4 linked regions of the Saccharomyces cerevisiae S288C genome follow. The gene in region 3 interacts genetically with the main gene of each other region. Each region holds a gene or a part of one and is shown on either strand. Other genes may lie near its edges. The genes, in order: SHH3, YNL194C, POG1 and SEN2.

Evidence for each region.
Region 1: mutations in POG1 (region 3) and SHH3 together harm fitness more than expected from each alone (negative genetic interaction), as found in Saccharomyces cerevisiae (one large-scale study listed by BioGRID).
Region 2: mutations in POG1 (region 3) and YNL194C together harm fitness more than expected from each alone (negative genetic interaction), as found in Saccharomyces cerevisiae (one large-scale study listed by BioGRID).
Region 4: mutations in POG1 (region 3) and SEN2 together harm fitness more than expected from each alone (negative genetic interaction), as found in Saccharomyces cerevisiae (one large-scale study listed by BioGRID).

What each region holds. Positions count from the first base shown.
Region 1 is NC_001145.3:501,644-509,654, forward strand, and holds SHH3 (protein SHH3), read right to left. Parts: upstream 1,092-8,011; coding exon 501-1,091; downstream 1-500. Other genes in the region: kinetochore-associated Ndc80 complex subunit SPC24, read right to left, coding at 1-248; putative ubiquitin-protein ligase ASI1, read left to right, coding at 3,690-5,564; bifunctional phosphoribosylaminoimidazolecarboxamide formyltransferase/IMP cyclohydrolase ADE17, read right to left, coding at 5,859-7,637. UniProt on the Saccharomyces cerevisiae protein: Homolog of SDH3, but seems not to be a stoichiometric subunit of either the succinate dehydrogenase (SDH) complex or the mitochondrial inner membrane translocase TIM22 complex.
Region 2 is NC_001146.8:267,251-275,495, reverse strand, and holds YNL194C (uncharacterized protein), read left to right. Parts: upstream 1-1,880; coding exon 1,881-2,786; downstream 2,787-8,245. Other genes in the region: YNL193W (uncharacterized protein), read right to left, coding at 1-1,128; YNL195C (uncharacterized protein), read left to right, coding at 3,188-3,973; SLZ1 (Slz1p), read left to right, coding at 4,325-5,221; mRNA-binding protein WHI3, read left to right, coding at 5,903-7,888. UniProt on the Saccharomyces cerevisiae protein: Involved in sporulation and affects the sphingolipid composition of the plasma membrane.
Region 3 is NC_001141.2:126,204-134,518, reverse strand, and holds POG1 (Pog1p), read right to left. Parts: upstream 3,910-8,315; coding exon 2,854-3,909; downstream 1-2,853. Other genes in the region: QDR1 (multidrug transporter), read right to left, coding at 1-102; QDR2 (cation transporter), read right to left, coding at 647-2,275; putative glucosidase SIM1, read right to left, coding at 4,938-6,368; AYR1 (acylglycerone-phosphate reductase), read right to left, coding at 7,422-8,315. UniProt on the Saccharomyces cerevisiae protein: Transcriptional activator which promotes cell cycle recovery with CLN2, after pheromone induced G1 arrest, probably inhibiting the ability of STE20 to activate the pheromone response pathway.
Region 4 is NC_001144.5:343,393-351,848, forward strand, and holds SEN2 (tRNA splicing endonuclease subunit SEN2), read right to left. Parts: upstream 4,789-8,456; coding exon 3,655-4,788; downstream 1-3,654. Other genes in the region: APC9 (anaphase promoting complex subunit 9), read right to left, coding at 1-375; DNA replication initiation factor CDC45, read right to left, coding at 597-2,549; LCL2 (Lcl2p), read left to right, coding at 3,193-3,588; REA1 (AAA family ATPase midasin), read right to left, coding at 5,614-8,456. UniProt on the Saccharomyces cerevisiae protein: Constitutes one of the two catalytic subunit of the tRNA-splicing endonuclease complex, a complex responsible for identification and cleavage of the splice sites in pre-tRNA. It cleaves pre-tRNA at the 5'- and 3'-splice sites to release the intron.

The sequences.
Region 1 (8,011 bases), on a different chromosome or scaffold from region 3:
TCTTCGTTAGTATATTCTAAGTCTCCCTCCAATTTAGCAACATTTATTCTTTCCGCATTCAATTTCTTGTTCGACTCAGAAACCTTTGAATGCTCTTTACTAATTCTTGCTTCGCTTTCCTCTTTTATAACATCAAGATCGTGTCGGATTCTTTTCATGGCATCAACATCTTGCTGAATATCAAAACTTTCTCTGACCTCTTTTAAAAATTCAACCGGATTGTCGAGTAGGTTATCCTTTTGTGACATGGCTCTTGCGTTCCTTCCCTTTACACTTGCTCTTCCCTCGTTACTTCTTTCATCTATAGCAAAGTCCCTACGTAAGTTATTTTGAAGACTTCATTGTTTACATTTACTTTTGACGCGCCTGTCAAGGTCGGGTAACCTCTTCTGCTTTCGCGGGTCCTTCTACGTTGAATCAAATTTATTGAATATAACATTATAAAGAGTATCATAAAAGCTATGTAGCAAAAAACACTAAGTACATTCCTTACATTTCATTTACTGAGCCAGTAAATACGTTCCTAAGACGAGTGTGCCGGCTAAAACGATTGATCCGGTTTTTATAACCCCACGGTTGGTCAATTCGTAGCCCATATCCCAGATGAGATGCCTTATACCGTTACCAAAATGGAATGCAAACAGATATGCTGCAGAGCCTTTGGCCACCCATTGGGACCACTTAGGCATCTTTTCGTGATACCACTTGTTTAGATCCTGAAAAGTCGTATCCATTCCCATTATTGTCGTCACACCCAAAGTAATTGTGAAAGCATAGAATCCAAGAGCCAGTAAAACGCCAGATATACGATGTAAAGAGGAAAGATACCAGCTCATTTCAGGTTCGTAAACAGTTAAATGAGGAGAGATCGGTCTTTTTTTCCTTTGAGATACTAAGAGCTCCTCTTCCTTGTTGCTTGACCAAAGATCAGATTTGGATACGCGGCCATTGTGGAATTCTTTGGAAAAAAGGTCCATTCTGCCATTAGAGATATAATTATGCAAAATAAATGGTGTGCTGATTCTTGGCACGAATACAGATGCTCGGGGAACTCCAAATACAGATGTTACTCTTTGAATGGTTGCTTTCATTATTCTTACGCTTCTGAATATTTCTGAGCTCCACTTATCAGCTATCACAGTCGCATTGAGTGTGATTAATTTTTCGGTATATTGATACTATTTCATTTTTATTTGCCATTATCTAAAATCTTCGTCAATTTTTTTATGAGCAACGTATCCCTAATCCCTTTTTTACAAAAGTCCAAAATAGAAAAAAAACTATTACGGATGCAGTGATCTCTAATTAGGGATACTTTTCCTTGTAATTTGGTTTATCGTACGGTAAGAATGACCGAATGAGTGATGGTTTTGATCCGAACCGTAAAGAAATACTGGTAGAAGTGTTTACTCTGGTTCCTTTCAACGACATGGTATACAACTATATTGCATGAGAACTGGATGCGATGCAAGTACTTCTGGTACAAACATGTAAATACTATTGATTATATTACAGTAATTTTGTCAAAACACAGTGGCACAAAGTCATTTGATAATGTGATAGGATAACGAAACATATAAAGCGGAAGGACAAAAAAAAAGTAGTGATATTATGTAGAAATACCGATTCCATTATGAGGACTCTTATATCTTCGAGAGGAACTTCTATTATATTCTGTATACACAACATTATAGCCTTTGATCAACAATGGAGTTCACAATTATCAAAATATTCGCACAATATTCACGTAGAATAGTGGATGACAGAGTATATAAACAAAGAAAGAAGCACTCAGGATTTTCTATAAATAGTGAAGTTTTCTATGGACGCCAAAAAATCTTAAGGGTATCTTGAGTGTAATCATCATTGGAAGGATTATTATCTTTCACGAGTAAAATACTATTAATAACTAGTAATTTCCGTGAAGTCATTAAAATGAACAAAACGATAAAACGGTTTCTTATTGCTAATGTGCTGATTTTTTGCCAAAAGGTAAAATCTAAAAATATCAATTGCATACCTTCACATTTGGTATATTACCATATAATAGCAAGATGACATAAATCGGTGAGGAGCAGTTACCAAATTCCATGGAAGATGAAAAACAGGGTTGATAATATAATAAACTGTTGGAACGAGAGTAATTAATAGTGACATGAGTTGCTATGGTAACAATCTAATGCTTACATCGTATATTAATGTACAACTCGTATACGTTTAAGTGTGATTGCGCCTATTGCAGAAGGAATGTTAAACGAGAAGCTCAGACAATACTGAAGCTGTGTTAAAGACCTATTAGTTGAACATGTTATGGTAGGTACATATATGAGGAATATGAGTCGTCACATCAATGTATAGTAACTACCGGAATCACTATTATATTGGTCATAATTAATATGACCAATCGGCGTGTGTTTTATATACCTCTCTTATTTAGTATAAGAAGATCAGTACTCACTTCTTCATTAATACTAATTTTTAACCTCTAATTATCAACATAAACAATGGAAGAAAAATAATAATATTACCAAGCAAAATTATTGTCCTTGTGGATTTCGATATTTTCAACAGGTACCTTAGTAGAGCTGAAGTTTTTTCAAATTAAACATTTATGTGGTAGTCATATATATGTGTCATGCGAGTCTTTACATTAAATATATGGTAACCACCAGAGAACTTGTTATATTAGTCACGATTAATAATGTTGGAATAAAAATCCACTACCGTCTATCAACTAGTAGTTATATTATCAATATATTATCATAGACGGTGTTAGATGATGATATAAATTATGAGAAGCTGTCATCAAAGTTAGAAGAAGCTGAAATGCAAAGATTGATAATATGATAGGATAATGAAACATATAAAATAGAAAGAGGGATAATCGTAATATTAGTATGTAAAAATATACATTCCATTTTGAGGATTCCTATGTCCTCGTGGAGAACTTTTAGTATATTCTGTTTACCTAATATTATAATCTTTTATCAACAATGGAATCCCAACAATTATCTCAAAATTCACCTATATCTCAAATAATAAACCGATCGGACTGCGTTCAGTGAACCTCTCTTATATAGTATAGGAAGATCCAAATTTATTATTCGCTGATATGACCTTTTGACCTTTACATATTAACGAGGTGCTTTTACCAATGCATAGACGAGCAGCTTATCCCATAATGAGTTTAAATTCTATTCAACTCATAACAACTTATAGTTGCTATAGTCACACCTTTTCAACAGATAAGTGGTTGTTTGGCCGAGCGGTCTAAGGCGCCTGATTCAAGAAATATCTTGACCGCAGTTAACTGTGGGAATACTCAGGTATCGTAAGATGCAAGAGTTCGAATCTCTTAGCAACCATTATTTTTTTCTCGCGTATTCCTTTGAGGGCGCCCCTTTATGTTGAAATATTGAGAAGCTACGAATCAAACTTTGAAGTCAGTTGAGTAAGCAATATGAAAAACATTGGAAAATACAATAAAACACAATTACGAAAACTATATTGTTTTGAACAGAAAAATAGAAGGAAGTACTAAAATTACTCTTTCACCACACAACAATTTTAACTCAAGAAGATAATCACTGCTTACTTTTATATTTTATAGACAATTTGCACTTTGGGGTATTTTTCTTAATTTTATCTGGGTTTTTTTCTTCTTTTTACAAAGAAACTATGCTAAGAATATGAACTCTTCCACTTCTTCAGAAAATGTGTTCATAAATTCATTTAGCTATTTGAATCAAACATCACAAGCCGTAATCTCAGGTAACTCCACTTTCGCAAATGTTATCAACTTTCCTTATAGACTTGGATTATCCTTTATTGGGGCTGTGAACTTGCAGTACGAGCAAACCGTTAAATCTGAAGAAATTCCCCCAACTCTAAGGTCTGTTTTTGATACAATAGGGTTTTTTTTCAGCCCGTACGCCATATTTTGCTTTGTAATCGCCATTGTCCTGAACCGGTTCGTTGTATTTTACGCCGTCCTTAACAACGGTTCCAGACGTACTTTACCGTTATGGTTGAGTAATGTTTTCCATGTATCAGCAGTAGTTGTATTAGCAATGGTATCCTTAGGTCCGCTGACCTTGGGTAAGGATTTCAAAATATTAGGCGACCCTGCTTTTGCCCAAGAAAAATTTTTACTGAATATATTCTACGCTTTCGCTTACTCTTATTGTGTCGAAACCATATTTACCATCATGCGGAATTCCAGCCCTTTGGAGGGCACTGACTATTCATTGTTTGAACTTTCGATTCAGTTTTATACAATGACTAATAATAATACTAAATTTTTAGATTCTCCTGATTACATTATAGACTGTTCTATGGCTATTTTGAGCAGGATATTGATCCATTTGGTGGAGATTTTCAGGCTTAGAAATTATCGTCTACTTTTTAGTACTATTATGAACCTCTGTCATATTTGTTACTTAGGGATAAGAGTTAAGCAGGGCGGCTGGAAAAGCCTTCCATTTTCGGTGAAATTTAGGCACTTTCCAAAACTGTTTTCAGTGTCTATTATTTGCTTATCATTACTGATTTTTAAATTATCATGCTTAATTAGATGGGATCCATTTGGAAAATCACGTAATTCTTGCGAACTTTTACAGTTTTACCCTCTCAGTAGAAATTGGAAAAAATACTTAAATTACACGGGAGAAGAAGATTTTTCTGCTATGGCCACTAAATTCGCACTATTATTATGCTCAGGAACTGAACTAATGGAAAAGGGTATACGAAGAGAATTTCCTGCTATTAACATCCCGGATAATGTTAATGAGAAATTTTTTATTAGCGGTTATTTAAATGAACTTTCTAAACCGTATAAAGAGAACACTTCCATCAGCTTCCCAAAGAAAAATTCATCAATATTAAAGCAAAGATTTTTTTTAATGTTTCCAAAATCTATAATATGGATCATGAAGAAGCTTGTAGGCCAAGTATTCTTTGGCTTCAGAGATAACAAGGACGAGGACATCCCCGACAACGACCCATCAAAAATGTTAAAGATAACTAAAACGAACTCTCTCAATAATAGTGCCGGCCACAAAGAAGATATTGAACTTGAACTATTGAACACATCAGATGATGAGTATTCTGAAGATTACGAGCCTTCTGAAGTTGAGTCACTGGGGGATTCTGATGAAGAAAACTTGGAAGAAGATTCACTGATTTTCAACGAAACTCGGGATGCCCTACTGGATTTATTTTCTTCCGAAGATAATGAAGTTCATACTGATTATAATTGGATCATGTCAACTAGCCGTATCCTTCAACAAAAATTACTGTCAGATAAAACTTTGACAAGGGCGTCTATCTTAGATACAAAGTTAAGTGAAGTAGATGAGACTTTTGGTACAGAAAGTGATTTTGATCTATCTTGCGCGGTATGCAAAGTCAATGAAAGAAATACAGTATTATGGCCCTGCCGATGTTTTGCCATTTGCGAGGATTGCAGAATTTCTTTGGGTTTACGTGGGTTCAGCACTTGCGTATGTTGTAGGAGTAAAGTTCATGGGTACTGTAAGGTTCATCCTGTTTCAGATAGTAAATAATAGTTTAAGAACTTTTGCATGGTATCTAAAAGAGGTTTTTCGTTTGGGAGCTCTAGCATTAATTACTATAGCTAGAGCTTTCTGTGTTGCACATATAAACATCATAATAATAAATCAAGTTTTTTTTCTTTGGGAAATGTTCGAATTAAAATTGTACTTATAACATATCGTATCATTAGTATATATATAAAAGTGTCAGTGGCGATTATATCATTAGAGGAGGAAAGAATAAACTATACATCGATTTGCCGTCATTTCTGTATTTATGGCATATTGACTCTGAACTCATGCCATCTAATGGTGGAACAAACGGATTGGGTTCTCTACGTAAACCAAATCGAATGAATCGGCAGCTGAAAATACAACCTTGTCCATGACAGAACCAGATGGAGCGGCAATGTATTTGACACCGGATTTAACTGCTCTGTAAACATTGTCTGGGAATGGGAAAAATGCATCCGATGACAAAGAAACGTTGGTTAATTTACTCAACCATTCCTTTCTTTCTTCTGGAGTAAATGGTTTTGGAATCTCCTCGAACTTCGATTGGTATTCAGACAATTCTGGTTCTTCTGTTGGAATTTGGCCGGTTACGAATAAATCGATAGCATTAGATTTTTCTGGTCTCTTGACGCCTTTAGCCCATTTAATCTCCAAAACTCTAGGGTGTTGTCTGAACCACCAATTATCAGCCTTATCACCAGCTAATCTTGTACAATGGATTCTAGATTGTTGACCTGCACCCAATCCGACAACCATACCATTTCTAGCATAACATACGGAATTAGATTGAGTATATTTAATAGCAATGGTGGCAACCGTTAAATCAATTATGGCTTGTTCAGTGAGATTTTTATTTTGAGAAACAATTTCTTTGAAAGTTGATTGATTGATTATGGCATCGTTTCTCTTTTGTTCCAAAGTCACACCGTATACTTGTCTTCTTTCGACAGCTTCTGGAACATAGTTTGGATCAATTTGTAATATGCAGTACTTACCTCCCTTCTTCTTGGATAGAATGGCCAACGCCTCAGGCTCATAACCTGGGGCAATAACACCATCAGAAACTTCTCTAGATATGATCTTAGCTGTTGGAACATCAACTATGTTGGAAAGAGCAATCCAATCACCAAAGGAAGACATTCTATCAGCACCACGGGCCCTAGCATAGGCACATGCCAGGGGAGATAAGTTTTCAATGTCGGCAACAAAATAAACTTGCTTTTCAACATCAGACAATGGGATACCCACAGCGGCACCAGCTGGTGATACATGCTTGAACGATGCTGCTGCTGGTAAATTCAACGAGGCGGATAATTCCTTAACCAGGGGCCAGGAATTTAGAGCATCCAACAAATTAATGTAACCTGGTGAACCACATAGGACTTTGAAAGGTAAACTGTCTTGTTGACTGACGTAAGCTTGAGCCGGCTTTTGGTGTGGATTGGCACCATAACGTAGAGTAATTTGAGCTTGACCTTCAGAGTATTGTTTCCTGAAGAAATCTGAAATTGCAGCATCATAATCGGCAGTGTGTTCGAAAGCCTTTAATGCCAATCTGTTTCTCAAATCTTGAGAGATTTCACCATTACTGGATAATTCACTTAAAAATTCGGAGTAGTCCTTTGGATCAGATAAAATAGTGACTCTAGCATGGTTCTTAGCAGCTGCTCTTAATAGAGTAACACCACCAATATCAATTTCTTCTACTGCTTCTGGAATAGTCACACCCACCTTAGCAACAGTTTCTTTGAATGGGTATAGGTTACAAACGACATAATCGACTTTTTCAATGTGCTGTTCCTTCAAGTCTTTCTCATCGCTATCGATGTCCCTAGCAAGGATACCACCATGAACGGCAGGATGTAAAGTTTTCACTCTACCTCCCAACATTTCTGGGGCATGTGTGATAGCAGAAACGTCTTCGATTGGAAAACCAGCGTCACGAATCATACGAGCAGTACCACCGGAGGCGAGAATACGAACGTTCTTCTCGATGAGGCCTCTGGCTAAATCAAGTAGACCTGTCTTGTCATAGACGGATAGGATTGCGGTTTTTGTGTAATTGGCCATATTTGATGGTGATATGTGCTTTGATGTCCAAGCTAGCAAAACTACTTCAAGGGCTATTAGTTGCTGGTAAGAAAGATTTTAGGTACTACACTAAAGGTTAAAACGAGCGTACATTTATATACATAGATCCGAACGTGATATGCACATCCGAATATTAACAAGTTATGAGAGGAGTCAATTCATTTCTGGGCACATCAGGGTACACACATTGTAGGGTAGGATCTTCTTTATAAATGATAAGTTGACTTCTGCAATGACTTAGTTGGCATGATTAATATTGTTCGTTCCGCTAAGGAAAAAAGAGTCAAAAACTGCAAATTCAAATTGCGTATGCTGCCAAAGAGCGAAGAATAATAAAAAAAAAATAAGTCGAA
Region 2 (8,245 bases), on a different chromosome or scaffold from region 3:
CAACGAAAGATCAATCTTACCCTGTACATCTTTTTCATCAAGCAGATCGGTAAAGGAGACGGTTTGCAGAACAAAATCTTGCAATGACTCGAAGGTTCCGGAGCTAATGATGTTCAAACCTTCAATTAAAGTCTTGGCTAAACCGATTTCCTTCAAATCTAATGGAATGGCGGCGGAAATGGAGTCTATAATGTCGCGTAGTTGTAAATAGAATTTATTGGTTGTATCTTCCAAGAAATTAATCTGAATAGGATTCAAGATTTTCGTTTCGACATTTTTTTCAATAGATATTTTCGACTCAATAACCAATTCCATCAAAGCATGGTTGAACTTTAAAGAGTTGGCGAGTACTTCGGTAAGTGAAGACGGAGTCACTTGTTCAGAAACGTCCATAACTTCTGCTGGAGGTTGTACAGGTCCATTGGTTCGGATACCACTTCCGTCCCTGGTAACTTGCATCGCGTCTTCATCCAAAGTATCTCTTTGCAATTCCGTATCTGTGTCATCGGAATCTTGTTCTGCATTTTCACTCCAGTTTTGTAGTTCTTGTAACAGATAATTAACCAGGTGTTGAAAGATTTCAATATACTTGTTTGTCAAAGTTAAAATGTCTGCACCTTCCATTGCAACGGTGGGCGAAACGGTGTCGTCTAGGGACTCTATGAGAGTCAAATAACATGTCAATAGATTGAATTGAAGATCCCAAGTTCTCTGTTCTGGGAAAGTCTCATAAACAATTTCAAACCGTTGGATAATCTGTGGCAGAGATAACACCAAATTGGAAAGATCAGGCATATCATCCATTTTCACGTATTGCAAGATATTAATGTAGCCGTTATTGGCCAGATAATCTGTATAAATTTGCAAAAAAAGCCTTGTTTCATTATAATAGATATTATATTTCCCTTCCTGCGTGGAATCTAAAGCAGTCAGACCATTTTCGTAGTGCTCTAGAGCCTTTAGATAGAACCGCAAACATTTCTTTATGTCCGATAGCAACCAACGGTCTGCTTGTTCTTCACAGTCGATCGCTGCCAGGTAGAAATCTTCTTGAGTAATCAGGGCTTTCTGCTCCTTTTTGTGTTTATTACTCTTACTGAAATGCTTGAAATTTTTCGGAGGTCCCATTACCTGGTTTACAATACTCTAGTTGTCTGCTTAAGAGGCGAAGCATTCAATGCGGTGTTTGTATACATAAACTTTTAGAACTCTCAAGAATCCGCATCAACGGAAAGCCAAGGCAAAAAAGAAAAAAAAGCAAATCAAATTCAAAATTACGTATGCAACTACGAAAATTTGGCTCCCAACATAATCTTAAGGGCCTTCGTCATCACTAACTGGTCCAAAAGAATATCGCAGATGCCGAAACTATCACCTTTTCATACGTTGAATTTTTGAGAAAATTAATCACTTACAAAGACTCCTCGAAATTACGGCAAGGACACCCCCTGAAGTGCACAGCCGCACAGCCGCACAAGTCGGATTTGGGAAGACGACAAAGAGGGGACTTCTAGAACAAAATTGCTCCCCAGCGTCTTTTAAGGGAGGGGGTTGCAATGCAAAAGCACCCTGTATATCATCAAATCTTGCATTACTACCCGCAGTTTGTACTATTTACAAGGACGTAAAAGTGGGATGAACGGATGGAAAGATGAGATCACTATTCCCTGTTTTCTGTCTCCGCTGTTATCCCCTGCTTTCGATATAAAAACATTAGCTAAATACCCTAACAACTTATATTATGTTAGAGATCCTATCTGTAATTCTTATCCGAAATTAGCCACTTTTCTAGGGTTTTCAAACAACCATAAACAATTACTTGTATTGCGATCACGATAAGCATTAAGTATAACCTCATATATTTCCGTTTCTAATAATCAATGTCCTACAAAAAGTTTGTGTACTTTATTAACCTTTTCTTTCTACTAGGGGCTACATTGTTGACTTTTTTTCTGATACTAGCAGGTGGCAGGACCACAGGAGTGTTGAAGAATTTTTATTGGTTTCAGGCATCCACTTCGGGCTTTAACTCGGCGCCCTCCGTAACCAGATGGTACAATTATAACTGGTGCGGCTGGGAAAGCCGCGGAATAGCAGTCAACTGCTCTTCTAAGATGGCAGCTCAGCCGTTTTCACCAAGGGACAACTTTGGCAGTTCCCCCCTCATGCCCTCAACTTTTTTAAACAACAGAAATGCCTACTATTATCTTTCAAGAGTGGGCTGGGCAATGCTTCTAATCGGGCTTTTCTTTTTGTTAATCACGTTAGTTTCGGTTATTGCCAGTTTAATCAGATACAATAGACGTACCGCCGCTCTGGCAACTGCAATGAGCTGGATCACGCTTTTCTTCATAACCCTATCCGCTTGTCTGTACACAGGATGTTACGCTAAGGCAGTAAAGGCGTTTCACCATGAGAATCGTGATGCTAGACTAGGTCCCAAGAATTTTGGGCTTATTTGGACCACAGTATTTTTGTTAATTGTAAACGCCATTTGCTGTACTATCATGGTGGCTACTCATAAAAGAAACGAGTACATCTATGACCGCAGTTTCGCTTCTACCAAGACAGTGGACTCACAAACTCCAACTCCAGTTCCAACAAATGGAGGAATACCTTCCTCGGTGCCTGTAACTGAGGTCCAACAATCTCAATCCCACCAGAATCATAGGTTCTTTAAGAAATTGAGAACGAAAAAGAGAACTGTGACTAGCGCAGGCGATGAACCAGACCGGGTTCAAGAGGAACGCGTCTATACTGAACAGAATGTTCCTGTTGTATCATAGGGTGCAAAGGAGGCTTTTTTTTCCCTTATTATTAAAGCTAGGATTACAAATAATAACAAACCTAATTGCAGCGATTAGCCTTCTCCTATTCTCTGTTGATACCAATTTTATTTATTACTAATATTTTGCACCGATATTCCACTAATCTTTTATGTTTCCCTAAATATAATATCTTTAATTCTCAACCTCTAATAATACTAATACTATACGTCAAACAATGTAATGATACCATCTAATAAAAAGAAATCGTATTTTAACTTCCTTTTAATGTATCATACACATCTTACTAACTCTTTTTCTTTTCTTTTCACTATTTCGACAGCAATGAATTAGACACAAACCAAGAGTCTTCTGCTACACAGCACGGCTTCGGCTACCATATTGACAAATCTTATGACAGGATGCTGGGTTTGGGCCAATCTGCTCAAGCATATGCAAGTGATGATGCTCTCAATATGAACCAGGCAAAGGATAAAACGTACAGCGTTCCAGGGTGTGGCAGGGCAAGCGACCTCAAATATCCTCATCGTGACGGACACTCTTCGTCTCACGAACAGCGCTCTGGAATTTTACCAACTGAATGCCCAGGCCCTACTTTAAACACCGGTGCCGGTAGCATCGGTATCCCGGGATGTGGCAAAGTCACAAATAGAGTGGTCAGTGACTATAACAAAAACGCTAGGTCTACGCTAGCCAATTTTGATAGTAGTAAAATGACCGAGGCAAGAATGAACAGCAAGAACGTGCCGATTGGTTGTCAAGACACCTCTGATCCGCACTTCAATGGGCCTATCGACCAACATGTTCCCGGTGCAGGTTCACCTCAAAGTCAACCTCATCACATCGACGCGTGGAACAGCGTTTCTTCTCGCCGTGCCGATAATAACAACCAAGACATGATGGACCCCCAAACGGCTTCCTCAGACAGGTACAATGAGAAAATGATGAGAGAAGAAAATAGCGGCGTCTCTGCTTCTTCTTACACCACTAAAGTGCAGGGATATCCCGCAAGTATTCCATCATTCAATCAGGAAACTGAGGAAAAGGAAACCTACGCCTACGGTGTGGGTGATCGGCACAATGTCCCAAGAAACCAAATTATGGATGAGACTAATCCTTCGGCTAACGTTCTAAACGCTACTGATCATAGTATTTCGCACCCTGAGAATAAGGTCTTGCATAAGTAGTTTTTGTTTTTCCTACAGTTTTTATTTATAACCAACCTTATACTTTTATATCCTTGTCTACATATTATTGTCATAACGAATTTTTTATTGGTTAAATGCAGCTATTGCGTTCTCTTTATTGCATAAATATATTCTATTACAATATGGGAGGGCATTATCAGCCTCCATGTGCTTGCGTGCTGTCAAAGAAGGAGTGCGGGGATGACAATATGAATAGCCGCCGAAATTATGCCCGGCTGCAGTTGACCGTATAAATAACAGTGCTTCAATGAAAGGACACAAAAAGCAAGATCGTCCCATTTTCTACCTTAATCAGTATAGTAAAAATCAAAAACATAATATATTACTGTTATGATGAATAAAGTAGATCAAATCATCGGTTACAAAAAGTACGAAGTGAAACTACCAAAAGATCGACAAGTAAAGAAAAATAAATCAAAAGGTGGAAATGTTGATCAAATAGATACTAAGAGGGAAAAGGATAAAATGAGAGCTTTTGGTGAAGAAAGGAAAAAGTTCTTAGATAAAATGGCTAAAAACAAAAAAAAAAATACAAGTAGAAAAGATAGAGAGAAGCCAAAAGAAGTAGAAAAAGAAAACTACAAAAGAGAAGACAAAAGGCTAAAAGAACAGAAAAAATTATCACTGGCAAAAGAATTTCGTTTCAAAGAACCGAATTCAGAAGCCATTAATCAGAACACAGCAGCTGAAAATGGTAAACCTAAACCACAGACTGGACTAGATTTTGACATAGACCATCAAACCGTGTCCAAGATCATGATAGATCAGGCTATTCAAACATCTAGTCCTCTTAATGTCCAACTCACGGAACTTTTCAATGATAACGTCCTCGACGTCTCGAAAGATAGTCAGTTTGTCCTTCAAGACATGGAGTTCACCTCCTGGGAACGACGCTGGTCAAACTGCAGCACGACCAGTAATGCGACTACGGTCTCATCAGTTCCTGATCCCAAATATAATATCAACTACAACGACATAACCTCCTTCAATTCAGTAGCGCTAATTACCGAAGATCTTAACATATCTGCATCATCTAATGGTCTGCATGAGAGAGGTAAAAAGCTACTGCAGCAAGAGATGGAATACTCAAACAAGGTCAAAAATGTCACCATCGGGCTTGAAAGATTGTGTATGGATGAAAAACCAGTCCCAGATGCAGGAATAACCATGCAACAAGCGTCGCGCTGGTCAGAATTCCCCACTTGTTGCGATCAAGCTGCTATTTAGCTTTTCTAATTTAAAAAATTTATAAACTTCTTATAGTATTTCATCTTTATATCAAATACTATTAGCAAAATAAAAGGAAAGGAAAGGGAAAGGAACTTCTTTAGACTGCTTCGCACTGATTCTATCGCCATCCTTCTTCATGTTCTCAACTATTGGATATCTGCTCTATTTAGAACAATCGTTATTGTTACCCGCGTTAAATGGGGTAACTGATTGCTGCTTTTTTTTCTCGTTGTTTTGGACCTTTTCGGACATGAGAGGTCAAAAGAAAAAACAAACACGACCAAGTAAGCCGGAATAAACAAGTATAACCACCTGATTGAATTGCCTTCTTTAAACAAGCACAGACCTCCAAAAAGAAAAGGCTTTTGAAACGCTGCTCACGCACAGTTGTTTATTCCGTCCACATATTTTACGTGTCAGTTTCCTTTCTGTCTTCTCTTTATTCAATCAATTAGCATTAAAGAGAAAATAAGTCGTGTACTTTGAAAACCTTCTGTTCCTGTTTTCTTCCCGTATTTTTCATTTGCTTCACCAGCTTTTTCTCAACTGATCATATCATTTCAAGTTAAAAGTCTTTGTCATCACTTTTCTGTGAGTTGCAAATATTTGTAAGCGTCACTTACCTAGAGCAGCCTTTATCGATCAATATTTCAGAGGGAAAAACCTGTATCTCTTAGCATGCAAAGTTCAGTTTATTTTGACCAAACAGGGTCATTTGCGTCCAGTAGCGACAACGTTGTGTCTAGTACCACCAACACACACAACATTTCTCCCAGTCATCGTTCCAGTTTGAATCTGAACACTACTTCTCATCCCCACGAAGCGTCGGGTAGAGGAAGCGCAAGTGGGGAGTTGTATTTGAATGACACAAACTCACCCTTAGCGATATCTTCTATGCTAAACACACTTGCCCTTGGAAGTATGCCCCAAGACATTGCAAGCAGCAACATTAGCAATCACGATAACAACATTAAGGGGAGCTACAGCCTAAAATTGTCAAATGTAGCCAAGGATATTACTCTCAGAGAATGCTATGCAATCTTCGCTCTTGCTGAAGGTGTGAAAAGTATAGAATTACAGAAAAAAAACTCTTCATCAAGCATCACTTCTGCCTCATTAGAAGACGAGAATGATATTTTTATCATTGCCAGATTTGAGTTATTGAATCTAGCTATTAATTATGCCGTTATTTTGAATTCGAAAAATGAACTCTTTGGACCCAGTTTTCCCAATAAAACAACCGTTGAAATAATAGATGACACAACAAAAAACTTGGTTTCATTCCCATCATCTGCCATTTTCAATGACACCTCAAGATTGAATAAATCGAACTCGGGAATGAAAAGGCCAAGTCTGTTATCACAAAGATCCAGGTTTTCATTCAGCGATCCATTTTCCAATGATTCTCCTTTAAGCCAACAGCAATCTCAACAGCAGCAGCAACAGCCACAACAGCCACAACAACACTCTACGCAAAAACATTCACCACAACAATGTAATCAACAACAAGTGAATTCTTCAATACCGTTATCTTCTCAAGGCCAGGTTATTGGGTTACATTCTAACCATTCACATCAAGATTTGTCTGTGGAATCAACAATTCAAACATCTGATATTGGCAAATCTTTCCTTTTGAGAGATAACACTGAAATTAATGAAAAGATATGGGGCACAAGCGGTATACCTTCCAGCATCAACGGTTACATGAGCACTCCCCAACCTTCTACGCCAACTTTAGAATGGGGAAATACTTCTGCATCCCAACATGGTTCTTCGTTCTTTTTACCCTCTGCAGCATCGACAGCCATTGCACCTACGAATAGCAACACCAGTGCCAATGCAAACGCCAGCTCCAACAATGGAGCCAGCAATAATGGTGCTAACCAGGCACTCTCTGCCAGCTCGCAACAACCAATGATGCAAATTGGTAACACGATTAACACTTCCCTAACCTCTTCAAATTCATTGCCTCCATACGGTTTAATGTCTTCTCAATCGCAGCACATTTCAAATATGGTAAACACCTCTGATATGAACATTACACCTCAAAAACAGAACAGATTTATGCAACAACCCCAACCAGAGCATATGTATCCTGTGAATCAAAGTAACACTCCTCAAAAAGTACCGCCCGCAAGATTAAGTTCAAGTAGAAATTCACACAAGAATAACTCTACTACCTCATTATCCTCAAATATTACTGGATCTGCCTCGATTTCTCAGGCTGATTTGTCACTACTAGCCAGAATTCCACCTCCTGCCAACCCTGCTGATCAAAATCCACCTTGTAATACCCTTTATGTAGGGAATTTACCCTCCGACGCTACTGAGCAAGAACTAAGACAGCTATTTTCTGGTCAAGAAGGCTTCAGAAGACTATCATTCAGGAATAAGAATACCACATCTAATGGTCATAGTCACGGACCGATGTGCTTCGTTGAATTCGATGATGTCAGTTTTGCAACCAGAGCGTTAGCTGAATTGTATGGTAGACAGTTACCTCGCTCCACTGTGAGCAGTAAGGGAGGTATCAGATTAAGCTTTTCAAAAAACCCACTGGGTGTTAGGGGCCCAAACAGCAGAAGAGGAGGCAGTGGTAACCCAAATCCTAATGTAAATATGCTTTCCAGTTACAATTCTAATGTTGGTCATATAAAAAACTAAAAAAATGGTTCCGCAAAAACCTGATTTCCTTGCATGTATCACATTATATGCATTGCTTTTCATCTTTCCCCCACTATAATAAGAATAATATTTTCTGTCGCATTTTTTCTTTTTCTTTTATTATTTGTTATAATAATATTTTCTAAACCGACTAATAATAAGAATAACATCGATAATACTTTATCTCTTCAATTACGTTAAATTATCTTTTTACTATTACATTACAACGTGCATATAACAGAAATTTTTTCTTTTTCTGTCTAACATTTGAATTGTACTATGAATTAAACCCGCCATCTTTTTTCTTAACTACCATTTTGCGAACTCCTATACCGCTTCTGCAACAACAAGAACTTT
Region 3 (8,315 bases):
GGCATCTGAGCTGGATCTGTCCACATTATTATTATCAGATCCTTCACGTTCTTCCTTGGCTATAGATGCGTTACGCATTACAGAAGTTTGTTGTTTGGTCATGATTTACTTATAGAAGTCTCTTCATGAGCTATCTGTTATTTTTTTATTAATAGAAGATGGTAGTGCTAAGAGATTATCACTTTTTTTAAGCAAGAATAAGTTCCTTTGAACGCTGATTGCTTGCTTACTTTTTTTGTTGTAAGAAGATTTTTTTGCTACAGTGATAGAGATTCTTCAAACCTTTCAGCTTCACCATGGTTTTATCAACTAGAAGAAACTCCAAGATCAGAAGATGAGATAAAGGGTCCGTTAACAACCGGGCCAGAAACATGAAACCCGAATCTCCGAATTTCGCACCTCCAGCATATTTTCGGCCTTGGCAAAAAATGGCGGAGAATAATAAAGGCAAAACTCAGTACTAGCCGTTCTATGTTAGTGAATCGTGCTGCTAACTCTAATTTTAGTTATTACAGAGTTCAGATTAAAAAAAAAAAAATACTTACTATTACTTTCTATTTGAGAAGACTTATCACACCAATTCCTCTTTCTCGGTAGTGGAGCGATCAAAAGGAACATTTTCCTTTGATTCAAGAAGCTTTACTTCTTAATTTACTCCCAGTTCTTGCTTTTTCCTCTTAAAGGCTAATTCTTTACCTTTTCTCAAGAGAATAAATAAGAGGATCGATGACGAGGAGGTTAAAGCCCCCAAAAATGTAAAAACACCTCCGAATTTCATTTTTTCTACCATTTTACTCAATGCAGCTATAAACACAGCAGATAGAATGCATCTGAAAAGGTTTAAACATCCCGTAGCCGTAGATGTCTTCGTGGGAAAAAGATCAACTATTAGAGTTGTTGAAAAAGTCAAAATGCAATTGGAAAACAGCGACGCAAATCCACTCATGCAAAGAACGGCCGCTAAAGGGGCTTTGACAGTAATGCACCATCCGTACGCACAAAATCCGCTACTGCTTAAAAGCAAGGTAACAAATGCGGGTTGCAACCTCGCCTTGAAGATATTAAAGGTGTATTTGGGATCATTTTCTATGATACGTTGCACCAAATTAAGGTCGTTGTCGTGTTCTTCTAAAAGCTTTGATCTCTTCTTGCCCAACCAATTTTGGTAATATTTTAATCTGCGCCTGTAATTCCAATTCAAATATCTTCCAGCAATGACAATACTACATAATGTGCAGATACCGGAGGGAAGGTAGCATAATCCTACCTTTGCAACAGTCAAGTGATATTGTTTACTCAAAGCTGTGGATAACGCCGTAAGGTGCGTAGTATACATGGCAAATTGTAATCCAGCGACTAGCATAAGTATACAAATTTCATAAGCTTTCAAAATCTTGAAGGGCGCCAGTAGATTTAGTTGCGTGGGCAGTTCCAATGTTTCGTAATCTGGATTATCCAAATGCAATGATTTTCTTACTGTTGGCAAAACAAGAATGGGAGCTCTATTTAAGTATGATTTTGGGGTGACAGAACCATTCCCGGATATGTTCCTCTTTGTTTCTGGCAAAATTAAAAACGAGGCTAGGAAGCAAATGCCAGATCCAATTGCTAAGAACCAAAAGATGGCTCTCCATCCCCATCTAGATGATAATCCGGCACCGATAAGGGCTCCGAACGCAGAACCTAGAACTTGAAATCCAGCAACATATCCAACGTACCCGCCGCGCTCGGCTCTAGTAGTAACATCTCCCATTATTCCGCTGTTAATCGCAATCACGGGTGAAATACCGGCGGCTTGTAGACATCTTAGCACAATGATCTGAGCATACGTTTGAGCACAAGCAAGACCGATGCAGGCACCAAAATAAATGACGATTGCGACAAGCACCACCGGTCTCCTGCCCAGTGAATCGGCAAACCCGCCCATGAATGTGGGGGCAAGACCCTGAAATACAAAATATACTACAACAGTGACATTCACCAATTCCTCGTCAATATCGAATTTTCTTTCTATAACGCTCAGAACTGGATAGTAGATGGCACCTGCTATTGTGGAGAAAAACCCAGTGAAAGCGCACTGAGCTATTAAAACTGTCTTGAAAGAACGGGAAAAGCGTGAGTGAGGCGGAGCGGTTATCTCCGGTTCTGGCTTTACACTCTCGGTCCTAGTCAAAGCCAATTTGTCTGCAGTTTCTCTATTATATGACTGCATACTCTCCGCAAGCTCGTCCTCAAAATCATTTTCCCGAATTATACTTGATGTTGCTCCTGCCATCGTTGCAGTACTCAAGTTTGAGAGCAGAGTTTCTACTAAAATGACCAGCAACTGACTTGCCGTTTTTACAATGTATATTTATATACCCCATTATCTAGAGATTGCTTCTTTATCTAGGAAAAGATGGTGACGCCGTTTATCTGTTCTGTAACCGCCATTACTATTTTCATCAGGGCCAACAAAAAAAAGTCCAGTAGCTCATACGACATCATCTGAGCCAAGACACATTTTCTCGAGAAAAATGTGGTGAAAGGCACAGATTTGGGGGGGAGGTCAGGATGCTGAAAAATTATTACCTCCGTCTTACGACCGCTCAGACGGGTAAGAACACCGGGGGTGGACAAGACAGTTAAGCAGACTGAATCCAAAATGACAGCATATATTATCAATATCCTGTTTATTCATGATTGAAATGAGATAAGGAGTAAAGGCAAAGAAATCGTAATAATAACACTGTAGCATATATATGGATATATATTTTTTTTTGAACTGAAGTAAGGTGGACGGATGCATCGAATGAAGGTTAGGAAGGGATATAGTTTTAGAAATTAGGTGATAAAAATGAAAATTACTGCACGTCATGTGGGAGGAGGATGTTTTGGTGTATGAATGAGAAAATTGACGGGCCTTTGGGACGAAGCCGGCTGGGGATTTCGCATGGGCGACCTAAAATTTGCCATGGAAATATTGGCACTTTGTGACCTTCTATGACTAAAACTTTTTCTTGACTGGTCTCGTTCCTGACCAGGTTGCAGCTGGTGCTGCTGCCCGTATATATTTGCCTGTGGGCCCATACTCATTACCGGATGAGCACCTATATTTTGTTGGTAAAGGCCATGCTGGTTCAAGGAAAGAAACTGTGAGCTCATCACTGGTGTCTGGGACTCCGAGTTTGAGCTCATTGTAGGAAGCTGAGCTTGTGGTCCCATCCCTGGTGGATATAAATACTGCGGCATTATCTGTTGCACTTGTGGTTGCGGAGGTTGCATATACGGGTTGCTCATCCACTGATTTGCAGGCATAGGTAAAGTATATGCGCCTGGTTGCTGGTGTATTTGAGGGTATCCGACCCCTGTCTCAACTTCTGACACTGTAGGTATATCAGATCTATATCTTCTATGGCCTCGTGGACTTGCAAGTTCGGAGGCGTTTATCTTGCGTTTCTTTGTCGTTATCGGAGACGGTATCGTAAGATGATTGTTGTTATCATTATTTGTATCTCTATTCATGGACATATCAAGAATCTTGTTTAATGTCGAATCACTTATTTTATCACTTTCCATACATTTATCAATAATCTGGTTTAGTTTCGCAAGATTTGACTCGCGTATCTTTTCTAGTTCTTTTGTGTCGTTTATCAATCGTACGTTTAAAAATTGCTCCACTAGGCCAGTGTCGCATGCATTTAGTTCTTGAATATCGTCAAACCCAAGTTGTTTTAATATTCTTATTCGAAGCGATAGAGACTTTTCTGTTTGCGATGATTCCACTGGTCTACTGTTGGTACTCTCGTCTCCTGTACTAGCTGTCACGGTTGTACCAGAAGATAATGAGGTATGCTGCTCTCGTTCAACAGCCATTGGTCCTTTCGGCTTCTCTTTTTCTTCGGATTGTCTATGTGGCTCCTGCTTCATAATATGGCATCCACTTTGATTTTCGTCTTTACTTATTTTTTTTCAATTTCTGCAATTAATCGTGGGACTCTTGAAATGTTTTGCGCCTTTTTGTATGAGTTAAGCGCAGGGATTGCACGCAATTTATTTCCTCTTCTGCGTAGCCTTTAAAATACGCGAACCTTAAGTGATATCAGTACGCGATTTGATCTTAGTTTTACTTATCTGTTAAAATAAGATACCTTGGGTTCCCAGTGTCTTTTCTACTATTGCTTCACACCTTATTATTTTTGTGCACTTTTGCTTTTATGAGAATAGGCAGTGCATACCTTTTAATTTCTTAGCACTCTGAATTTTCCAACCTCTACGAAAAAAAAGGAAGAACTTACAAAGTTCCCCCATCTGAAGCAGTAAATTTCCAAAAATTTTTTTCACCATCCGCATTTTCCCTTTTTGATCCACAATTGCCCAAAACAGTAATATTTTACGGGTAATGGCGGGGCAAAGCTCATCTCCGCAGATCCTCTTCGCGCCGACAGGCGCTGGGGGCTGAAAACACTACGTGCGGAAAGTTGTGCCTTCATGTCCTGATTCGGAAATGTGATGATTTCGTAAACCTACACAATATCCCCTTTGAGACTATTGCAGAGCTGCATATGTACTATTTTTAGCTGTCTAGGAACAGGCTACAGTAAAAGGAGGCCGGAAAGCTGAAGATGAAAAGAGTTCTTAAATTTCTTATGGGTATCGGACAGTATGTGTTTTCTTATGTAAATCTATTTAAAATTGTTCCGTCTTTGAAAATCTCTCTATCCAAGAATACTACTTGCTAGTTAAAGATAATCGTAATGAATCTTGGCTATATTTGGTCGTCTAACAAGTTCACTTGGATAATGGTACAGAAACATTGAGGCCATTAACGAAAAGAAAAAGGTGGACAGTATAAATATCGGTAAAAAGAAAAGGGGACCATAGTGATTGTGTGAGGTATAGGGGGTGAGATGTGTTCGAAAAAAGAAAAAAAAAAGGAAAAGTAGTAGTCACGTAGCTTAATTGTATAAGACGAAATGAGCTTTACCGGAAGTAACAGAGACGGTACACCCGTCAGCACCGCCAGAGAACTCACCATTTTCGTAAACACATTCACCGATGACATTGGATGAATCATCAGCAGCAACTATCTTGACGTTGTAGTTCAATGCGTCGCTGTTGTTTGGGTTAGGAATCAATGATAAGTATGTCACTCCACCAGTGGAGCCAGCACCAAAGTTTAATGGTGCCCAGTTACCAATACCAGATCCAGAAGTACCCCAGATACACCCATCTTCAACTGAGACGCCGGCGTTATTAACGTAGTATTGAGCAGATGTCTTTTTGCCTTCCCAAGTAAAGTAAGTATCTTGGTCAACAACGGTCAATGGCAAAGAGCTACCCCCTTCAACATAGGTTGGGATAACCATGTTTTCAGTGCCCGGGTAGTCGGTTCTGCAAATGGCGACACCCTTGCTTAGTTTAGAAACAACATAGGCAGCCTCGACACCCCATTCACATAAGTAATCCGCGTCAGTGTTAGAACGGTACAAATAACCATTTTTACACAACAAACCCCCGACAGATCTACCGTCAGATGGTTGATCGGATGGCCATTGGGTCTTAGACATACCTGGTTGGCAGGAGTAGGAACAGTAGGACCCCTCCTTGCATGAACCGCCAGTGGAAGTGTCGGTGTTTTCCACACCGGACCATCCACCCTCGCCAATCCAGTCAATAGAAATGACACCTTGACCAGATGGGAATTTGTCACATGGAATAGTGCCGTCTTGGAATTTCTCACTTGGGCCTGAAAAGTCGGCCAAATCACCGTAGATACTACCACTGCCAGAAGAAGAAGAAGAAGAGGAGGAGGAGGAGGAAGAGGAAGAGGAAGTAGAAGAAGTGGAAGTAGAAGTAGAAGTAGATGGTGAAGTGGAAGAAGTACTAGATTTAGTGGCAGAAGAAGCACTAGATTGGGTTGCGGAAGAAGTTGACACGACAGTAGATGTTGGAGCAGCTTCTTCACTAGATGAAGAAACAGAGCTGCTTTCTAGGGTAGAAGTTGCCGAGGAGGAGGAGGAGGAGGAGGATGCCCCTTGAGATGTTGAGGCAGTGGCAGATGCAGCGGCATCAGAGATTTTCTCATTCTTGGCTAAGGCAGCAGATGAAACAGCAATGGAAGCGGAGCTATCCGCAGCGGCTGCGGAGGAGGTTGGAGCCAACACAGATGTTGTAATGATAGCAGAGGTAGCAGCAGTAGCGACTTCTGAAGCAGCAGGAGTTACAGTGTGGCCATCAGAATCGACAACAACAGTTTCGTAAACGTATTTGTACGCAACGGCCCTCTTATGTTGGTGGGCATCTTCTTGGTGAACATCCACGTGTGGTAAAGCAGACACGATGGCACCAGAACTAATCAACGTAGTAACGGCAGTTGAGAATTTCATTTCTGCAAAAAAATAAAGGATTGGATATTAGTTAGTAAAGTGTTTTTTTTTCTCTTGTTTTACCTCAAGTATTGCTTTTCTTACACAAAACCTTTCCAAATGCAAACCAGTCTACATCTTATTTAAGATATACACAGCTGCTATGCTGTGCTATGCTGAAAGCATTAATGGCTATTTTCTGGTTCTTCCTAATGTAGATCTGAAACTTCTATTGACTGACGCGAAACGCCAAAAAAAGGCATGTCCGGATCGGGAAAAAGTGTCCGCATCAGGAAATTTTCCGCCGCAATTTTCGTGACGAATGTCGTTCAGGAGAAAGAAACGAAGATAAAACCAAAAATAGCGGTTGAGCACGACTAAACTAACGTTTTGAGGACGCATTGGCGGTATTGGAAAGGGTTGAACTGCTGCAGAAGCTGAGCAAGCCTTGGTATTCATGGCAATACGGATTGTAAAGGTGTATGAGAAAAATTGTGGTAAATAACTTACTAAAAATAAAGCTCAGGTTAACTTAAATATTGTGGTTTTTAAAGGAATGTAAGTAGTTGGGTAGCACTAAACAAATGTTTTCTTGCTCGCTAGTTAATTTTTATAAAGGAAGGACTGTAAATAGTTGGAATTCGAGAGGGGAGCAAAGAAACTGTTTCTTTCAGTTCAAATGGTCTTGCTATAGTGTCTTATTCAACTGAGTAGATATATATATTTGAATATGCTGTTCTCACTTTTGAAGTAAGAGAGGGAATGCGAAGATAAATACAGAATAATTTCATGTAGTTTATAAATAAACAATGGCAATTTTGAAAAAAAAAAAACAACAAAGCACGATGCGAAATGAGCGAATTCCGTCCCAGCGCGTTTCAAACGGTAAGAGCAAAGAGAATGAGTGAAGTGACAGGAATTTGGCATACTGGTACGACGAGACGTAAACAATACTTAAAGAGCAGTTGAACATTAGCATTAGAACGATTATTAGCTATTGATGTCCTGACGTGGTGTACAAACTATACGGAATCTTGTATATAAATATAGGTAGCTATTGACGATGGTGAAACACTAATCGTCCTTATTCTTCTGTTTCGACTTCAAAGCATTATTAACTTTGTCCAATTTAAATTTTTTGGAAAGTCCTTTTTCCAATAGCCAGTAAGGAACAAATATCATGACAAAACGCATGATGTTGGCGAACGTTCCTCTATAAACATCTACAGGGTCACTAGTGCTCAAGATATCTTTAACCAGTTGCTTTGCGTACGCATCAGCTGGCATGGGCTTATTGTCCTTAGCCATGGTTTTTCTTGAATTAAAAGCTTCCCTACCTTCAGGGAAGTTGTATATTGAGGTTTCAGGCAAGGGCCTTTTATCAGCGATATCAGTAGCCACACCGCCAGTAATAGCGTTAATCACTCTCACGTTGAAGGGCTTCATCTCTAGATGTAACCCACGAGCATATTGGTGGATAGCAGCTTTAGAAGCGGAATAAATGCTACCAAAGGGGAATGACACAACTCCTGCCAAGGAACCAGTGAAGACAATGGTTCCTTTCGCTTTAATAAGGAACTCCGACAATTCACGGCACATGTTGATATGACCAAACACATTGACCTTAAAGCATTGTTCTACTGCAGCATCTGTTGCATCCAATGCAGGGAATGTACAACTCTGACCGGCATTGTTGTACAATAAATCTAATTTACCATCAGGTAAATTAGCTCGCAAAAAACCAGAAAATGTTACAATTTCTTCTGGCTTGGAAATATCCAACTTATATGGTTTGATACTATCGTTACCAAATTGGATGGCCAATTGTGCCATTGGTTCTAGTCTTCTTGCACATGCATAAACCAAATAGCCATTTCTGGCTAATTCCTTCGTTACCTCATATCCAATACCACCTGAGGCGCCTGTAACAACGGCAATCTTTTTAGGTTGTGACTGTAACTCCGACAT
Region 4 (8,456 bases), on a different chromosome or scaffold from region 3:
CACCTTATGAAACACAAGACAATGTGCTGCCCTTTCGGCTTTCAAAAAACTGTCAATTCTACTTTCCCTTAGCGTATTGCGCTCACAAAACGGTGAATAATCGTATTGCTTTTCTTCCTCGATGTGGCTCAAAGTATTCAGATAGTCGACTTCGTCTACGTCCATATTTATCCCATAGAGATCATCTGCAGTCCTCTCCTCTAGTACTTCGCCTGTTATGGGCATCGAATCATCATTTATTACCCTTGTCGACCTTTTCCGTAGCGGTGTGGTAAAATTGTTAAAGTTGGCTTTGTTGAACCTTGGTGTTTTCCAGGGCGGCAATGACGGTAGTTGAAACAACTTGCCTTCGTTCTTATCACCATTTTGGTTCATCTTACTTTGTCACAGCTATTTCTTTCCTTCCTGAATTTGTCCTTCCAAACCTAGTTCCCTGTTCTTAATTTCCTTTTATTTAGGTTTTTTTTTTTGTTTTGTCAAGAGCCGCGCACAAAATATGGTATTATTATAGAAAAGTTGGACTTAAAAGCTTGAAAAAGCTTAGATTTTATATTCATATGCTGGTATATATGTACGACTAAATAATATAAATTTGATTATAACAATCCACTCAAGGTCAGCTTCTCCAGGAATGGTGAAAGATCTTCACGACGTATTTCAATTATGGAACTTTCAAAATTATCTATTCTCACTTTAGCATCCGTTTCTGCAGTTATTTGTTGAAACGCCATGCTGAAATTATTCAAAATAGGTTTTTTTGTGTGTATCGTGTCTAGTCCGCGAGGATACCTAGGTGTTAACCCAGCAACCAAGTAAGTGTCCGTATTTTCATCTATGCTGGCAAGCACCATGGGCAACAATTGCTTGTCTTCAGATTCCGCACAGCATTCTATGAGCCAATTTCCTAATCTTAATAACGTCAATGGGTTTCTGTACAAGTCTAAATCGGGTCCGTCTTGTAAGACGCATAATCTATAAATTCTTAAATGCTTGATTAATTTCTTCTCCAATATAGCAACCCCGGTATTAAAAATTGCTCTCTGTAAGTCTTGTGCTAGTTGAATGCCACGGTTTAATAGTTCCACCTTTCTGTCATCTAGAGCATCCCAACTGAGCCAAAAATTCGAAACCCATCTTTTTCTCAAATTCGTCAATTTTTGAGCGCTGTTATCTTCTTCTTCCTCTCCATCTGTATCGTCATTATTGTCATTATTTATTTTCACACTATCCTTATCAGTTGAATTACCTACTTCCAAAAGAGCTGTTAGTGCTTCGACAAATTCACTGGCACTTATGGACCCACGATATCCAAGAGTTCTAACAAACCCATCTCTAATTATATCTTGCAACCCATAACGATCCAAATTTTTGTCAAATATTATCCCAAGTTCTCTCTTAATAGAATGATCCATGTATAACCATGTTTCTTGTGCAGTACTTAATGGTATACCCATTCTAGCAAACATCTTATGCAATCTCTTTTTCCCATTTTCATTCCATAGGGATAGTTTGGCATTGACATAGTTAGAATAATAAAAACTGTCGTACAATGAAGAATGCCTCAGTAAGAAAAGGTAGTAATCCGGTTGGATGTTTAACGTCAATGTATCAGGGGTCTTTACTGAGTTTCTACTGCTTGGTGTGAGACGCTTCACTTCATCTTGCAATAAGGGGTATAATCGATTGTAAACTTGAGCATATGCTATATCTAACGAGGTCGTACCAAGTATATTCAACCACAGGTTTGAAAGATTTGTTTCTCCGATAGCAGACAATAATGAATAGATTTGTGCAGATATCGAGTTAACCACTGTTGTGCCTTGAGAATAGTATTCCTCCAAAACACCTTCATATTCATGGATTTGCTTCTTTCGTTGCTTTCTTTTTGAGAGATCATTCGGTCCTATTGAAGAATTACCTCTTTTATTAGATATTGTCTCATCTTCGTCTTCTTCGTCCTCGTCTGTGACTTCATCGGCATCAGTTGCCTCATCGTCACCCCCATTATTATCGTTCTCGTCACCTGAGAGCTCATCGTCACCACTCTCCTCGTCCAGTTCAAGCAATTTATAGTATGCTTCTTTTTGTTCGCCTAATGTGTCATCCACCGTACCGTCGTCAAAACATTGGATGATTTGTGATCCAAATATATTGTCGAGATTCCACGGTCTATGAGCATCCAACACGTAGATGTCTCTCCTGAAACTTTGTTCCCCCGACTTTTCATCTGTATCGATAACATACTCTTGGGGATCGATTTCTAAGAAAGCCTCCAGATCAATAACGCCTCCAAACCCTACTAATAGCAGACTATTTATATTGTCATCCAATTGAGAATAGTGGCGTCGTAATTCAGAGTACCCAAATATCGGTACTATTTGAGATTGTACCAATTGTTTTTTGAATAATAGTGACAACATCTTCGTCGCACACAGCGCATCGATGTTAAGACAAGAAACGAAAATGACCAATTGACATGATGAATGAGACGATGAATTCCTTAAGATTTTGTTGTAGGCTTCGCTAAACTGGCTGATTCCATAATACATGTGCGAGAGTATATTCTTGTTATTATGTGCCTTCTCTCTAGTGTTTATTGCTACACTTTTATTGCTCTATAGTGCGTTGTATAAAGTAGCCACAATGGATTGTTGGCATTACTACAGCTTCATTATTTACTGAAATTTCTTAAAACGCGTTAGATGATATGTTGAAAAAAAAATACGCGTCGTGAATGAAACTTATTAGGTTTTACGACTAGTTAAAGCAAGAGAGAGAAGATCGAATTGACTAAATGTCTTCACTTTGAATTTATTCTAGTAGGATTCGCATGGCTTTTTCATAATAAAAATCTCGTTTATTTATGCTTTTGGTTGGTTTTCCTTTGATAAATGCGGCCCTTGCTTTGTTTGTGGTTGCAACGAGTTCGTCAAATGATAAATTGACGCTTAACACAGACGCATGGGAACCACGTAATTGAATTAATGTTTTCTTCTCGAAACAATTGCAATGTGACTTTCTTGTTAGGCAATGTGAGATGAAAGATGGCCTTTACCTTTGCAGATGTTTGGGTGTGGCTCTGAGCTGTCCTTTATAATTATAGAGATAATTTTGATGAAAGCTCAGAAGACCTTTAATGACGAAAAATAGGCATGGTTTGCCAGGCAAAAAACGACCAAATTTTACTGTAGTATGAGTCAAAGTCGCTGGAGTATCGTTCTCATCTTTGCATTGTTTATTTTTGGCAGCACTGGAGTGAATGCCTTCTTCAATTTCGGTCATCATCAGCAACAGCAACAGCAACAGCAACAATCATATGAAGATCAAGTTTTAAATAACCCTTGTGATGGGTATTTGTGTCCGGACACCCTAACGTGCGTTGCACAGCAGAAAGACTGTCCTTGTCCCTTCCCTAAATCTCAGTTGAAATGTGTCCTTCCTGATAATAAATTTGTTTGCATATCCAAACCAGCCACACACAATGAAAAGTTTAGAGCAATATATGATGACCCTGTCAAGGGCCCCAAAGCAAAGAACAAGGGGTTTAGGGATTGTGGATGGGTATCAGATGCTTACAAAAACCATTGAAATCTGTATAAAAAATACATACACATACATATATACATACGAAGGATTTATCTTCTCATTGATATTCTAGTCTCTATTTCTTCCGGGAACCCATCTCTTATACAATACTTCACCAACTTGAAAACTATTGAACAATTTAGTAAAGTTGTTTGATTTCCATAGTGCTATCGCCTCCTGTTCCGAGATTAGTCTCTCCACGTAGCATAACACAAACGTCTTCTTTGCGCCGCCCACAACACGGGCTATGCTAGAATACCACGTATAATCTTTAGAGACGTCGTGGTCAAGACCCATAACACAAAATTCAGCGTGTTGAAATGGTGGCCCTCTCTTATATAATAAATAATCGCAGCCGAATTTTATACCAGATCTTACGCACCAACCGTGTGATCTGTAGTGATGGTATATAACGTATGATCTGACAAAGGAGTGAATATCTTTATATTTGGCATCGAATTGAAACAGTTTCCCTGCCAGGCACGCGGGAGATATGTCAAGAACAGGAAGTGCAAAAGTTAAAAACATAGCTTCCACTGGCATTAGTTCTAGTGACTCTAGTGGCAAAAGATCACCGTTCTCATCAAGAAGATTGTTGTCTTCATCTCTTAAATTTGATTCGGAAATGTCTTGCTGTTGTGCAACGATGCCCACGTCTTCTGTTTGTTTTAGTTTAAATTTTCTTAATGATTCTCGTTGTTTCTCAAGGAGGATGTTTTCCTCATCGATATGACCACCTTTTTTTCTTAATTCTAGTAATTCTCTTTCTAACTTCGCACGTTCTTTCTTGAACTCTAATCTTTGTAATCTCCTCTGTTGTGTGACCTTCTCTAAAGTCATCTCCGTTTCAGTATTACTCTTTGTTCCTCCCCGATTGTGGAGGGGAGTATCATTGAGACCCAGTCTGGCCTCTGTTCTAGCTTTCCATGTAGGCTCACTCCTGCTAAATTGACCAGTGCCAAAAAATCCATTATTCCAAAGATATAGCATTTGCTTGTCATCTTGAACCGTGATGTGAAGAGTGGTATCTCCTATAAAATCTACATGTACTTTATCGTTCAGTGCGTTCGTACTCTTGTAATAGCGGTATGCCCAATATAGCCAAGATAACGGATTATGAAGGATTAACTCTGGAAGGTCATCTACGGGGTGAATTGGAAGAGGATACTTGTAACGCTTCTGATTGACCCTCCCTTTAGACATGCTCCTTCTTGAGTCCTTCGTACTTATTGTCTTTTCAGCGTCGTGTTACAATGAAACGTTTTAGCATATTGAATTTCGATGGAAGTTCAAATGTTTTATGCACCGAAATGAAATACTAGAGCAAAGAGATGTTAGTGAAAGCACCAGCTAATATAGCTCTTTCAAATTTACGTGAAAAAGTTATGTGTGGCAATATAAATCTATAGCAAGAGTGGCTTCTATAAAACATTTTTGACAAGAAATAAAATTCAGATACCGTTGTAGTCTTGAGAAATCATTGTGCTCACATCGATTAACTTCGAGCAACATAAATCATGCTATCATCATTAAAATAAAGTGGAAGTATTAAGAACAGATATAATAGCACGAGAAAAAACTCGTTCAACTAAGTCTAGACACACCTCCTGGTGTTATTTAGTCCGTTCTCTTAACAACCAAAGCCTACGAGCTCTCAAACAGCTCTTTTGTTTTAACTTCCTATAGAACTGAATGGGAAACTTGCATCTTGAAGAAAATTTTTCTCTTTAAATATCTGACTGAAGTATTGATCCCTTCAAAAAAAAAAAAAAAGAGAGTTGGTTACCCATATGGGAATAATATTTCTTAGGGCTAATTGACAAAGGATTGCTAACAGAAAATGCAAAGGACTAATAACTTGAATCATTTTTATATCAGGTTTATATAGGTATACGTTCAGTCTAATTAATAATTTATAGTTTACAGTAGTTTTTTACAGTAGTTTTTTTTTTTTTTTTTCAGTTCCATGATTTTTTTGTTCCTTTGATTCGTGTAGTAAACCTCCTCTTCTTGGTTTTCACGATATACTTAGCTGGATGCCAGGTCTGTAAAGTATTGACGCAAAATCAGTGAAAGCATTTCGGGTAGTTCGCTTATATCGTGTACAACAACATAAAATTCAAAAGGAAATGTGTCCAAGTATTTGGTAATCTTTAATTGCGGATTGCCATACTGATCTGGAATGTAGTTCACTTGGCTCATGTCTAAGATGGATTCATTAGAAGTAATACCATCTATGATGACAAAAACCAGCATAATTTTGTTTTCTCTAGCACGGCGGACCAGTTTTTGTATTGTTTCATGGTCTTCGCAAATACCATCAGAGATTACAATTTCTAGTTGCCATTGGTCATTATGTACCATAGCGCGAGCACGTTCAAAAATTTTAGTAGATTCAGCCACAAGTTTCTTAACGTCTGTTTTAGTTTCTTGGAAACCAAACCATTGAAAAGCTCTTGCGCCAGATTCGTTACTAAATTGTTGGTCAAATGAGTGAACTTCTTTAATATTTTCACCGAATTTGACAATAGATAACCCTCCAGCCTCTAGCTGAGTTAACGTCTTGGAGACCAAGCATAAACTATCAAAAGCGAGTTTAACGCATTTAGATTCGCTCATAGACTTAGAATCATCAAGCGCAATCATTATTTGATACTGACGTTTGCTTGGTTTAGTTCTTCTCAACCAGATTTTATCTTTACGGAATTGTGAGGCAATATATGGAATGATCCGTTTCATATTCAGTCTCTTACCTGTTTTGTAATCACCCTTCAGCTTTGTAGCCAAGGTAGGTTCCAAGATTAGTCTTAATTGTTCTCCAAGACGTGATACTAAATCGGCGGTCGAAATTTCACTTTTATGCCACAATTCACGGGATTCTTCTAACGATCTTTCCGGTGTCAAACTAGCACTTGCATCAGGTGGATTATCCTCAATGTTTTCAATTAAAGATTGTATTTCACTGTCATCCTCTTGATCAGCCGAGAAGTGTTCATTTGAAAGTTCGTTCTCAAAATCTTCCTCACTCTTTCTTTTACCGATGAATCCTGACTTTTTGCTGTCAACGTCATTGTTAGCGTCATGCGCGTCGATATCAGATAGCATCTCTTCTTCATCAATATCCATTTTTTCATCATCGGCGTCTTCTACTAACTCTTTCTGGTCCACTTCTTGCTCCTCCCTATCATCATCAATGGCCATGTCTTCATCAATGGTTTGTAATTGATCCTGTGTTGCAGAACCTAAAGCTTGCGTATCTGTTTCAGTATTTGCACCCTCAACATGTTCAAATTCATCGGGACGTTCATTGTTTTTTTCCAAATTTTCGTCCTCTTCGCCATTAGTTTGTGCTTCTTTTATATCTTGACGACGTCTATGATATTCTTTCATGCTATCACCTAGTTGCTTTAAAGCAGCCGTAGCCTCTTCGCGTGATTCTTCATTATTCTTTGTCACATCTTCTTGATCTTCTTCATAGGTATTCTGAGTCGTTCCTGAACCTCCAACATCGTCCTGTTCTTGTGTGTCCGTAGCATCAGCACCAGCACCTTTGGATCCAGAATCTTGTTGAACGGCAGCTTCTTGATCGATGTCTTCAGTATCAGCCTTTTCCTCAACGCCATCAAGACCTTCTGTATTCTGCTCACCTCCTTTCTCTTTGTTTTCTTCCATAGCAGCATCTTGCTTTAACTCTTCTTCATCAGACATGGCTTGCTCTTCTGGGCCATTTTCTTCGTCTTCCTTTCCCTCATCATTAGTCATATCCACATCCTCTTCAGCACCTTCTTCTTCGTCAAGAGCTGTTTCTGTCTCGCCGGCATCTTCCTCAGGACCAGGTTCGTCGTTTTCATTATCACTTTCGATACCGGATTCTTGTTTGACTTCTTCGTCTTCGTTTCCAACCTCTTCCTTGTTTAGGTCATCAGGCATTCCATCTGACATATCAACATCTTCGTCTGATTCTTCATGCTCTGAATCTAAATTCATATCTTCAGGAAGGTCTAGGGTTTCGATTTCAGGAACATTAGCCTCCAAATCCTCGCCTTCTTCATCTTTAACTTCGTCCTCCTGTTCACCAACGTCGTTTTCCTCTTCTGCATTTTCATCGTTTTCAATTTCCTCATCGCCATCTTCAGGTGCATTTGGGTCCTCATCCCCTCCTTCCTTGTTATCCCGCTGTTGTTCGTCATTTTCAGCAGCTTGTACATCTTCCTCTTGATTTTTTCCATCTAAATTCTGGTCTGTATCTTTTTCTTTTGAATTATCACTTGCCTTATCATCCCACATTTTATCATCAATAGCGTTGGGGTCATCTTCATTCAGGTCATCAATTTCTTCATCTAATTCTTCTTCTTCGCTATCAGTATCTTCATCATCATTTTCTTCACCATTAGACAAATCTTCCAATTCACCAGCCATATCGCCCTCCATCTCAACTGCATCATCTTCATTCTCGTCATCCCTCTCATCTTTATCTTGTTGTTCTTTGTTTTCGTTTTGTGCATCCTCAGTCAAATCTTCGTCTTGTTCGACGTCTTTATTGTTATTTTGAGCACCTTCACCGTCTCCCAAGCCTGTACCCTCTTGCAAGTTTTTGTCGTCAACTTCTTCAGATGGTGGCTGCGGAGAACAGAACCCATTTTTGGCTAAGCTATGCAATATCGTCGATAGAATGTACATACCACGACTTGTGTTCGTGTAGTAGATTCTAGATCTTTCAAGAACCACGGTCATTGCGTTGTAATAACGTGTGATTACCGGTAGTGTAAAGGATATAACTGATTTAACGTAAATTGATTCAGTAGTGGTAAAATCAAAGTCCTTCAACAAGGATAATGCTGTCTCTATATTTTTAGAAACAACACTGGATC